Callithrix jacchus: one gene and its partners. The main gene of each other region encodes a partner of the protein of the gene in region 3 in a complex. Links are inferred from orthologs where the notes say so. Each region holds a gene or a part of one and is shown on either strand. Other genes may lie near its edges. The genes, in order: RBM10, MYSM1 and KIF11.

Evidence for each region.
Region 1: KIF11 (region 3) and RBM10 share a complex: the UniProt entries of both Homo sapiens proteins name them as parts of the large chromatin remodeling complex. The link is inferred for Callithrix jacchus from reciprocal best matches to the Homo sapiens genes KIF11 and RBM10.
Region 2: KIF11 (region 3) and MYSM1 share a complex: the UniProt entries of both Homo sapiens proteins name them as parts of the large chromatin remodeling complex. The link is inferred for Callithrix jacchus from reciprocal best matches to the Homo sapiens genes KIF11 and MYSM1.

Annotation. Positions count from the first base shown.
Region 1 is NC_133524.1:48,107,412-48,111,578, forward strand, and holds the start of RBM10 (RNA-binding protein 10), read left to right. Parts: upstream 1-1,311; 5' UTR 1,312-1,537; coding exon 1,538-1,607; intron 1,608-3,419; coding exon 3,420-3,561; intron 3,562-4,167. Other genes in the region: NDUFB11 (NADH dehydrogenase [ubiquinone] 1 beta subcomplex subunit 11, mitochondrial), read right to left, coding at 542-748. UniProt on the Homo sapiens protein: Binds to ssRNA containing the consensus sequence 5'-AGGUAA-3'. May be involved in post-transcriptional processing, most probably in mRNA splicing. Binds to RNA homopolymers, with a preference for poly(G) and poly(U) and little for poly(A).
Region 2 is NC_133508.1:95,767,395-95,770,983, reverse strand, and holds part of MYSM1 (deubiquitinase MYSM1), read left to right. Parts: coding exon 1-745; intron 746-3,589. UniProt on the Homo sapiens protein: Metalloprotease with deubiquitinase activity that plays important regulator roles in hematopoietic stem cell function, blood cell production and immune response.
Region 3 is NC_133513.1:85,333,618-85,337,995, reverse strand, and holds the start of KIF11 (kinesin-like protein KIF11), read right to left. Parts: upstream 2,870-4,378; 5' UTR 2,643-2,869; coding exon of another isoform or gene 2,572-2,642; coding exon 2,566-2,571; intron 1-2,565. UniProt on the Homo sapiens protein: Motor protein required for establishing a bipolar spindle and thus contributing to chromosome congression during mitosis. Required in non-mitotic cells for transport of secretory proteins from the Golgi complex to the cell surface.

The DNA of each region.
Region 1 (4,167 bases), on a different chromosome or scaffold from region 3:
AGGATGAGTATAATAATAGTGCCTACCTTGAAACGGGGTTGTTTTGAGGATAAGATGAGTTAATCCACGTAGAGTGTTTAGAACACAGACAGGGGCCGGAGCAGTGGCTCACACCTGTAACCCCAGCACCTTGGGAGGCCAAGGCGGGAGGATCGCTTGAGCCCAGGAGTTCAAGACAAGCCTGAGCAACATCGCGAGATCTCGTCTCTAAGGAAAAAAAAAAAGGAACGCAGACGGCAACGAGCAACTGCCATATCAGTGTTTAGTATAATTGTTGTTGTATTATATTGCTTCTAATGTGTTTTGACTGCTGTCCACATGAGGTGTGGTTTCTGTCTGCAAAATAAAACCAATCCTGTCTCTGGCCCTGGAACCTTCGTTCGATACCCAGAGACAAAGGAGGACCACAAAGTAGGCAAAATTCCCACGTCTTCTTTCGCCGACCACGCAGTCCTCTACTGACTAAGAACGTCCTCTACAGCACCCCAACTGTCGCTCCCGGATTGACCCCTTCGGCGTTCCGTTTTCCCCTCCCTCTCACCGTCTCATAAAAGTTTTCGTCCTCGGTTTCTGGGTCCTCTTGCCATTCCACGGTCGGTTCCGGGGGCCGCTTTCCCGCCGCAACGGGTGGGGCGGCCACAGTCCTGGAGAAGGTGGATTCCCAGCGGACGCGGGCGGCCGGGAGCCCTCGCGTCGCCGCTGCCGCCCAAAGACGGCGAGCGGTCAAACCTAACAGCCCAGCCGCCATGACAGACGGTGCTGCAGGGGCTCAGGGGCGGAGACGGAAATGCGACTGTGCGCAACTGCAGTGGGTGCGAGCGCGACAATTATCGCTCCGTCCCCGCCCGCTTAATAGGTCCCAGATCTGATTTTGTTTTCTAATGAGGCAGGGCGTAGAGCAATCCTCTTTGCCTCCAGTTGTCATGGCTTTGTGGTGCCAACCATTCTCTCACTCTTTCGGCCAGGCTGAGAAATTTCTTATTGATTTCTTATCGATGGGGCTGCTAATTTCCTGGATAGGAAGAAATCGGTGACATTCGGGTTGGTACATTTCTCAACCAATCGCCCAGAGAGTTCCCTCGCCCTTTGGGGAAAGAGGTGGAGCTTCCGCTAGTCTTTCATCTTCAAAGGAAGTCAGGCTTCTAAAAAGCGGGCCCTGCCAGATTGGCCAATAGCTACTCCTTTTCTCGACTAGGGGAGCGTTCGCACAGGGTGTGAGGAGGTGGCAAGCGCTTACCAATCAGAGGAGGCTAGGGCTGGCCCCTGGCGGGCAGCGGCCAATCGCCGGGGCTGGCCAGAGCGCGCTTCCTTAGTAGGTGGATGGTGGTCGGAGCGCCGACTCCCTTCTTGTCGTCGCCATTTTGAGCTGATGACTGTGGCCGGCTGGCAGTAGGCGGCAGTGAGTTTCCCTGGGAGGGCAGCGCGCTTGGCGCTTCTCCCCTCCCCGCGATCTGCCCGCAGCCTCGGACTTGGTTGTTGCGCGCTCCGGCTCCGGCTGAGCTGGGAGAGTTGGAGGAGGTGGCGGCGGGCGGAGGTGATGTCTGGGAGCCCTCCCTTGACAGCCCGGGCCGAGAAGGTGAGCGTCGACGCTGGTCGTGGGGGCGGAGGTAAGGGGCCCGGGGCGGGGACGTAGAGGAGGCGCGAGGGCGGACTTCGGGCCGGGGGGATGCGTGGAACGGAGGGGTGCGTGCAATGTCTTAACCCGGGAGGGGGTGGTGTTTTTTTTTTTTTTTTTTTTTTGGTGTGAGCAAAGGCGCGTGCGCGACTGGGACACTGGCTGGGTGCACGCGGGTTGGGGGAAGGGAGGGACGGATGGGAGTGGGCTGCCGTGGATCACTGTGTCCGCTACACCGAAGTTTTTTCGTGGGTAAGCGGTTGTCTGCGACTTTGAGTTTGTGCATGGGCGAGGGATGCTGCTCTGTGTTAAATCTGGTGTGTATTGGTCCATGGGGAAATGTTCTGTGGTTCTGGTCTCTTTTCCTGGAGGATTGGAGGGAGGATGTGACTCTGGTCTTTACCCTTGGTGGGGGGTGTGTGTCTGTGACTCTGGTCCTTATCTGTGGGGCGGGGCTGGGGGGACGACTGTCTTGTGACTGGCCCAAACCCTCTTATTGGGTGGAGAGGGGGATTCAGGGAATGTGTGTGTGACTCGTTGCCGCTTCTTTTGGGGAGTTCCTATCTGTGACACTGATGCTTATCTGTGGAAAGGGGACCCAGTGTGTGTGTAACTGTGGCCCTTACTGTGGGTTCCTTCTGTGATGTGGGCCCGTAGTTATTTGAGGCTCGTGTCTGTGACTGGCCCTTGGCTGTGGTAGATGTTACTGTGTGACTCTGGCCCCTTTGCCAGAGTCTCTTGAGGGTTTTTGGATCTGGCTCTCAACCGCCAGTGCCTCTGGTGTGATTCTAACTCTTGCTCACCTGGGAGCAGGTAACTCGGGTTCCCTGTGGCTTGAGGAGGAAGAGAAAACTGGAGTGTGTGTATGTGCACGCATAGAGCAAAGGTGTGGCAGCAACCTAGAGTTAGGCAGGTGCTATTATTGCCTAGCTTTACCTGATCCCTATTCATAGGGTGGGGCCCGAAGATCTGGGATTCATCCTGACCTCTGGCTGGGTCACACGGTTCTCAGGACTCCCTAAGTTCTCACCATAGCCCTGAGGGTTGGATGAAGTGTTTGCTGCTCCATCCCAGTAGAGAACAGTGGTTCAGAACAGCCTCCAAAAGGGCCCCTTTTGCCTGTGGAAAATAGGCTTGAGCCCTGGGGAGACAATCACTTTGGGACCTTGCTGCACATAAGAGACAGGGCTCAGGGCTGAGCCATTTGCTGTGTGAGGGCCAAGGCTGTGTTGGCCAGGAGCCCAGGGAGGTGGCAGCTGTCTCGTTGCCAAGTTACCCCCTTCACACATACCCCCAAGAGCCTTTCATGGCCTTTTGCTTCCTTAAAGGGGGCAGCCAGCAGCTTCTTGGGAGGATGGGATGGTACCTTGGGGCCCAGGGAAGGAGCCTGGTGCGTGCGTGGGATCCCCATTGTTATCAGATCTTGCCTGATGTGCTGAATGTCAGCAAGACTTTCAGCACTGAGAGTCCCCTACCCCCACCCTGGGATGCATCCCCAGGCTTGAATTTGTCTACCTGTCTCAGGTGGCAAAGCCCTGATCACAATGTGTGTGGCATCGCCAGGTCTTTCTCCAAGATGCCCTCTGTCTGCTGAAGGCCTTGCTGTTTTCTAGGGCAGTGGGCTCTAGCCTCGTGTTTGTGAGGAAAGGAAGGAGCAGGCCAAGTATGTGGTACCTTCACATTATGATGCACAGGAGTGCTGGGATCTGGAAGACAAGGCGGAGAGCCTTGACAACAATCTTTGTCAAGGAGACCCTCTCTGCCCCAACTGCTTTGACCCCTTTCTTCCCTTCACTCTTCCCAGAGTCCCTGCAGGAAGAATCACCCAGGCTGGCAGATCATGGTAGCAGCAGTGGGGGTGGCTGGGAAGTGAAACGGAGCCAGCGGCTGAGGAGGGGCCCCAGCAGCCCCCGAAGGTCCTATCAGGACATGGAGTATGAAAGACGGTGAGTTATCTGTTCCCAGCCTTCCAAACAGCCTAGGCTTGCCTCTATGTGAGAATCGATCCAAGAAGGTGCTAGGATGGGGCTTCTGGGTAGAGGAAACAGCATAGCAGATGGGTTTCTTTTCAGCAGACAGGTATTTGGCACCTGTTGTGAGCCAGGACTTGTGCTAGGCTCTGAGAATGCAGTGATGAATGAGACATGAGATGCATCCTTCTCAATACTCAGGGTGTCACAGGGAGGCCATGCAGTTTACAGGTGGTTAAGAACACCTTGGTGGGTACCATGGTTGGATGTGAGGGTGGGAAAGGATCAAGAGAAAGGGAGGAATCAAAACTGACATCCAGATTTCCAGCTTGGACGACCTTGATATGTTTGTGTGGTACCGTTTAGCGAGGTGATGGCAGCCACTGGAGGAGGAGGAGGAGGAGCAGCAGCAGCAGAGCAACCCTATAGGTTGGGGCTATAGCTTGGGGTATGAGGGATGGGTGGGAATGGCGCCATCAGAGTCAGAATTTGCTCAGGACCACTAGGGAACAAGCCAGGTCAGGTAGTGGGAGACTCCAGGGACTGTGTGGGCTACAGTTGGCATGATACTTAGTTGGAATG
Region 2 (3,589 bases), on a different chromosome or scaffold from region 3:
AGAAAGAAACACCAAATCAGAAGAACGGCCATAATCTTCAAGTTATAAGTGAAAATAAAGGGACAAAGGCATGGACACCGTCATGTTTCAGGGGACGTGCTGATCCCAACTTGAATGCTGTAAAAATTGAAAAGTTATCTGATGATGAAGATGTAGACATCACAGATGAGGTGGATGAGTTGTCTTCTCAAATACCCCAAAAGAATTCTAGCAGTGATATCTCGTTAGATTTCCCTAATAGTAAAATGCATGAAACCAATCAAGGAGAATTCATTGCTTCTGACAGCCAGGAAATTGTCTTTTCTAAGTCTTCCAGGGACTGTCTTCAAAATGAAAAGCAAGACGAAACACTTTCAAGCTCGGAAATTACATTGTGGACACAGAAACAGAGCAGCAGTGACAAAAATTCAGTCAAATTAAATGATCAGAAATTTAATGAATTGATTAAAAATAGCAACAAGCATGATGGAAGGGGAATCATAGTTGATGCCAGGCAGTTGCCTTCTCTGGGGCCTTGTGAAATTCAGAACGATTTGAATGATAATGAAATGCCTTTTCATTCTTGCCAAATGGTAGAGGAAAGTCATGAGGAAGAAGAGCTTAAACCACCAGAACAGGAAATAGAAATAGATAGAAATATCATTCAAGAAGAAGAAAAACAAGCAATTCCTGAGTTTTTTGAGGGACGCCAAGCTAAAACACCAGAACGCTATTTGAAAATTAGAAATTACATTTTGGATCAATGGTAAGAAAGAGTTACATTTTAGATGTTGTTTTAAAAACCTGATATTCTGAAGTATTTTAATTAGGCCTATACAGAACTTAGAATTTTGCTAGTAAATCTAGAAATCACTTCAGTAGGGAAGATTTAAGATTTCTTGTGATGAAACTTTGAAAGCTTTAGTAAACATCACTTCTAACTATCATAATCCATCTTTTTGTCTATTCGTTGGATTGTGGGCCTGGTAAAAGGGACAAATGATTGTTTTATGAAGCAGTCTCCTAGGACAGTGTTAGGAAGATATAAAGAGAAAACTACTGTACGGGAAAAGGGAAATAATTTCTTCAAGTTTATCACGTTCTTTGAATACAAAGAAAAATTTGATGACAGGAATAGTATTAGATATAGCCAGATTGCAGAAACACTTCTTCTAAATAGTGATCCTAAATGCTTTTAACTTTGAACCTGTGGCAATAATGTGCTATTAGTTTCTTCAGCTTTATCAGGATACAGTTTTCTGATATATGAAGCTAATTCTCTAAATTGCCAGTACCACTTACTTTAATTATTTAATGAGGGATAGGGAATAAACCAAAAAATTTCCCACCTTATTATTCCCACTAGTTTGAATTTTTAAAAATAGCCTAATTAAGCCATCATTAAACATTTGTAATTGCTGGCTTGGCTCAGTGGCTCATGCCTGTAATCCCAGCACTTTGGGAGGCTGAGGCAGGCGGATCACTTGAGGACAGGAGTTTGAGACCAGCCTGGCCAACATGGTGAAACCCCATCTCTTCTAAAAATACAAAAAAAACAACAAAGAAACAAAAATGGGCATCGTGGCAGGTGTCTGTGATCCCAGTTACTGCTGCTGCACTCCAGTCTAGGAAACGGAGGGAGACTTCATCTCAAAAAAATTTAACCAAAACAGATTCATAATTGCTAACACTGTTTCAGAAGCTATCGAATTTTACAGGGCCATCTTTACAGAGAGTATCCTATTCCTTGAGCAGGGGTTCTGCTTTGCCTCTTGCTTTTTCTTTTGTACCAAAGCCTTCCAGTCCTATTGCAGTAACTTTCTGCTATAACCTAAAAGGGTTACCAAAGGAAAACATCTGGCTGTAATAAACCAGTAACCTTTATTTTGCCCACACAATATTAGTCACTGGTTTTTAAAGATGGCTATATTCTAATAGGAGGACTTTTGTTTTTTTTCTTGACTCTTATTTTACAGATGGTTGAGGTACTGAAAATACAACATGTGGGTCAGGGCGGCATCATAGTAAAGTATCCTTGTAAGGAAAACTCCTGACTTTACATAGTGCTTTATAGTTTTTAAATAGCTTTCCTCTGTCATCTTATTTGATTTTTTAAAACAATCCTGTAAAATATGCAGATGGTATTATATCTATTTGATATAGAATGATGCTGAGATCAGGAGAGGTTTAGAGACCTGCCTTTGATTTACAACCGGTCACTGACACATGAAGGACTTCAGTCCAAGTCTGGACTATAAATCACTCTTTTATTCCACATGGCCTAATTCCCACTATTAACAAAGACTAGTTAAATTAAATTTCTATTGGTAGCTACTTTTGTTTTTGGAAATAAGAGGGTGACTGGCCAAAATTTAAGGACCTTGAAATAATAGCTAACTCAAAAATGTCCGTATTGGCCAGGAGCAGTGGCTCACAACTGTCATCCCAGCAGTTTTCGAGGTTGAGACAGGAGGACTACTTGAGGCCAGGAGTTCAAGATTAGTTTGGGCAGCAGAGTAAGAACCTGTTTCTACAAAATTTTTTTTTTTTAAATCTTGGGCACGATGTTGTGTGCCTGTAGTCCTAGCTACTCAGGAGTCTGAAGCAGGAGACTCACTTGAGTCCAGGAGTTTGAGGCTGCAGTGAGCTGGGATCATGCCACTGTACGCTAGCCTGGGCAACAGAGCAAGATCTGTTAAAAATGTCCATATGAATGATCAGTGTATACTTAATTGTTACTTTAATCAAATTCTATATTTGTTACTTTGAATTTTGGATTCCAAATGAGGCAGAATAATTTATATAGGTACTGTAAATTACAAGCCAGTAGTTTCCTAAGTCATTTGCCTTGGTTCATGAAACTGGTTAGGTATTGCTATTTTATTATGGTGATTTAGCAGAACAGTGTGAAAGCAAAAAGTGTTTTGAACAGGAACTCACATCTGTTCAGAAATAGAAGACAGTGAGTGGGTTAGGGACTGGAGGTGGTGTTAAAAAAATAGATGGAAGAGTTAAAGTTTTAAAATAAAAAGAAGCCTGCCAGATTTGTTTATAGATAAAAGATCCTTGTCATAAAAGCAGATGCAGTTGATTCTCTGGTTAGGGGAATATTTTTATTAAAATAGTAATTAGTACCATGACTGAATGCCTCCCAAATACCATGCACTGTATTTAAATCATCTCCAATCCTTTTGACAACCTCATTCTCATTTTATAGATAAGAAAAAATGAGGCTCACAGAGGATAAAAACCTTGTTCCAGGTCACACTAGGTAAAGGGGATATTGGAGTCTTTAGTCTTGACTCATTATTTTCACACTTCCAACTCAGGGCCTTGACCCTGACTTTTTACTGGATGTTCTTCCCCCATATTTTGGCAAGTGTTGCTTTCTTGTTGCATTGAAGTCTGGTCAAGGGAAACTAGAGGCTTATCTAAAGTATCTCATGTATCTCTTCCCTTTCATTCTCTTTTTCTGTGTTATAGTTTCTTCACAGAACTTATTACTACCAAAAATATTACATTTTCATTTGTGTATTGTCTCTTCTCCCCTCAACCCCCTTATTATGCAGGCAACACGAGGGCAGATTTTTATCTGTTTTGTTTGTTGTTG
Region 3 (4,378 bases):
TGGGAATAAGCAAGTCACAAAAGGATAAATACTGTATTACAACTCCACTCACATGAAGTACTTAGAGTAGTCAAAATCATAGACAGTAGAATGGTAGGTGTTAGGGGTTGAGGGGAGAGGGAAATGGGGAGTTATTGTTTAATGTGTATAGAGTTTCAGTTTTTCATGATGAAAAGAGTTATGGAGATGAATGGCAGTAATGACTGCAGAATATTATTATGTATTTAATATCATTGAACTGTACACTTAAAGGTGGTTAAGATGGTAAATTTTATGTGCATTTGAAAACAATTTTTTAAATTGGGAAAAAATAGGGGAGGGAATAGAAGGGGTATAAGAAAGATAGCCAGCAGCACATTATGTAGGGGTCTATAAACTTTAACCTGTAGGTTGAACCTGGCCCTTGCCCTGCCAAAGATTTAAGAATGATTTTTGCAGTTTTAAAGGCTTTTTTAAAAATAATAATAAAGGATCAGAAAATAATGTGCAAGAAACCACATGTGCCAGGGTGTGGTAGCTCCTACCTGTAATCCCATGGATCACCTGAGGTCAGGAGTTTGAGACCAGCCTGGCCAACATGGTGAAACCCGGTCTCTACTAAGAACACAAAAATTATCCAGGCATGGTGGTGTGCACCTGTAGTCCCAGCTACCTGGGAGGCTGAGGCGGAAAATTGCTTGAACCTGGGAGGCAGAGGCTGCAGTGAGCTGATATCGCACCACTGCACTACAGCCTGAGTGACAGAGCAAGACTCTGTCTCAAAAAAAAATAAACTACACATGACCTGTAAAGCCTAGAGTATTTAAATAAAATACTCTAGGATAAATATTTATTTATCCGAGTCCTTTACAGAAAAGGCTTGCCAACCCAAGGACCTCATAAATCCCAAGTTGCCTATTTACTAAAGCTTAATAACAGACTTGTACCAGGAAGGCTATTTGAAAGAAGGCATATGCCCTAAGTGCATGCAAAAAAAAAAAAGAAAGAAAGAAAAAGGAAGGAAGGAAGGAAGGAAGGAAGGAAGGAAGGAAGGAAGGAAGGAAGGAAGGAAGGAAGGAAAGAAAGAGAGAGAAAGAAAGAAAGAAAAAGGCTGCCCTGGCCTGGTGGCTTGCACCTGTAATCCCAGCACTTTGGGAGGATGAGGTGGGCAGATCACCTGAGGTCAGGAGTTCAAGACCAGCATGACCAACATGGAGAAACCCCCTTCTTAAAAAAAAAAAAAAAAAAGGCTAATCTGAAAAGAAAAAAAAAACTCTTTACATAAAAATTATTGTAAATTTTTTTTTACAATACACAAGACACAAGCAAAGTACCATTCTATTCATCGATGATAAAATAAATCTCTTCTATGGCAAGGTTTGAAATATATGCAGATCATAAACATCAAGTTCAAGATAATGGTTAACTGTGAGCAGAGGAAAAGGGATGGAGAGGGGAAAGAGGGGGCTCCAGCAATGATTGTTTTGTTTCTTAATCTGTGTTATGAACAAAAATGTTTATTACATTATTCTTAATAACTTTTTCTAAGTCTGAAGTATTTTGTAACTAATATTAAAAAAAGAAACCATATAAAGGCACACGGAAAAGGTAATAATTGCCTGGTTTTATTAAACAACCAAAATAATTTTAAAATTTGCACTTGTTATATGCACTGCATTTTTAAATAAAATTCTTCAAAACAAGCAACTACTAGCAGAAAGCCCAGATTACAGCTGGTAAGTGTCATTGGCCAGACTTAGGATTGCCACCAAATCTGCTCTCTTGCACCTAGTTTAGAAAGGTTTACAGAAAAGTTGCAACAGCAACTGTTAACGACAGCCACAAAAACACACACACAAAACACACATACTCAGTAAACTGCGGAGAGCCTCTAAAAAGTTGAATAAGTCAATTCTAACTAAGCAACAGTTTCTAGCTCATTTTAAAATTAAGAAGTTATTTGGAAACCAGTCAGGGGAGAGGCGAACACCCCTCCACATCCCCTTATCTCGAAAAATCCTTTAATTTGGTCTATGAATAAACAGGTGAAAAGGAAAACTGCAGCACAATCAGAAATTTACACTAGCTTAAATGGCCTTGATCTTTTAAAAGCATAAACTTACTTTATAACTTAATTTTTAATGTTTACATACAGAGATGTTTATTGTTTAGGAGGGATGAAGAAAATATTGCATCTAGAATAAAGATAATAAGTGATTGCTTTTTAGAGGTGGTAATACCAACGTAAGGGCTAAACCATCTGCAAAACAGGTATTCAGTCTTACTTCCAAACTGACTACATGAAGCAGCATACAAAAGTGACACCTAAATCTTTATTGACTATAGTTTAAAATAAGAACGCACTTTTCGGTATGGAACAGTGATCAAATCAAACATCCTATTTTCTCCCGAAAATCAGACACACACAACAACCGGGTGTCATTTTTATCGAACACAACTCGGACAACAAAGAAACTGGGACCCTCAGGAAATGCAAACAAAATCGCTCTCCTCTCCCCGAACCGCGCAGGAGTGGGCCCAGCAGCAAAGCCCGGGCGCTCGGAATCCTGTCAGCCCTCTCCCTACCTGCATCTCACCACCACCTGGATGTTCTTCCCCTTCTCCTCTTTCTTCTTCGCAGACGAATTTGGCTGCGACGCCATGACGGTCCCCGCCAAAAAATCAACGCCTGGCCGCAGCCTTGGGCGCCGTGGGTCGCGTAGGGGTTTGGCGGCAGACGGGAGCCTGAGTCTCCCTGGCCCGTGCCGGGCGCTGGCGTGGCCTGGAGGATTGACGCCCGCAGCTCGGCGTCCCCGCTCTCCACCCGGTACTCTAGCCGTGGCGTTGGTCCCGCACCAGCCGGTGCCACCAAATCACCAATCTTGTCTCCGCCCTAAGTCCCAGAAACCAAGAAACGCCTCGGCGCCTCAATTTGAAAAAGGGGCCGAGTAGCCAGACCAATGGCTGCGCGGACGCGCACGGCACCATGGGACTCAGGGTCCTCACCGGAGCCCCGCCCTCAGGGCGTGACCTCCAGTAACGTAAAGAGCAGGTCTGTCAGCTCGCTCCGGAACTCAGTAGTCCAGAGCCGAGATGCAGGAGAGGAGTGTGGAACTTCAGCGTACCGTGACTCAACTTACATGACGTCTCTATTCCAAAATTCCCTCATCTGCAGAGAGGAAATACTAGTAACCATCTCAGAGGGTTTATGGGGAGAATAAATGAGTTTATGCAAGCAAATAGATTGGAATATATGGTAAGCGCTCATGATTATAATTATTATTGAATTTTAAGAGGGGAATGGAAGCACAGGAGAGGTTCAAAGCGAGCCGCGTTCCCGGAGGCAGAGACCAAAATAGGCTTTTTTTTATTTTTTGAGACGGAGCCGGCCGGGCGTGTTGGCTCACGCCTGTAATCCTAGCACTTTGGAGGCCAAGGCGGGCGTATCACGTGAGGTCGGGAGTTCCAGACCAGCCTGACCAACATGGTGAAACCCCGTCTTTAAAAAAAAAAATTGGGCCGGGCACGGTGGCTCAAGTCTGTAATCCCAGCACTTTGGGAGGCCAAGGCGGGTGGATCACGAGGTCAACAAATCGAGACCATCCTGATCAACATGGTGAAACCCCGTCTCTACTAAAAATACAAAAAATTAGCCGGGCATGGTGGCGTGTGCCTGTAATCCCAGCTACTCAGGAGGCTGAGGCAGGAAAATTGACTGAACCCAGGAGGCGGAGGTTGCGGTGAGCCGAGATCGTGCCATTGCACTTCCAGCCTGGGTAACAAGAGCGAGACTCCGTCTCAAAAAAAAAAATAATAAATTAAAAGAAAGAGACGGAGTCTCGCTCTTGTCACTCAGACTGGAGTGCAGTGGCGCGATCTCGGCTCACCGCAACCTCCGTCTCCCTCAGCCCCCGGGTAGCTGGGATTACAGGTGCATGCCACCACGCCTGGCTATGTTGTATTCTTAGTAGAGATGTGGTTTCACCATGTTGGCCAGGCTGGTCTCGAACTCCTGACCTCAGATGACCCTCACCCCCACGCCCTCCTCGGCCTCCCAAAGTGCTGGGATTACAGGCGTGAACCACCCCGCCTGGCCCAGAATAATCTTGAAGAATTATTAGTGTTGGGCTCGGTGGCTCACGCCTGTAATCCCAACACTTTAATAGGCCGAGGTAGGAGGATTCTTGAGGCCAGAAGTTTGAGACCAGACTGGGCGACATAGGAGGAACACCACCACCACTGCCGCCAACACACAGTGTTGCATCTCAACAACAACAACAACAAAAATGGGGGAAAAAATAGCAAGGTGTGGTGCGTGCCTGTTCTCCCAGCTACTCACGAGGCTGAGGCGGAAGGAACGCTGAACACAGGAGATCAAGGCTGCAGTGAGCCGGGATTA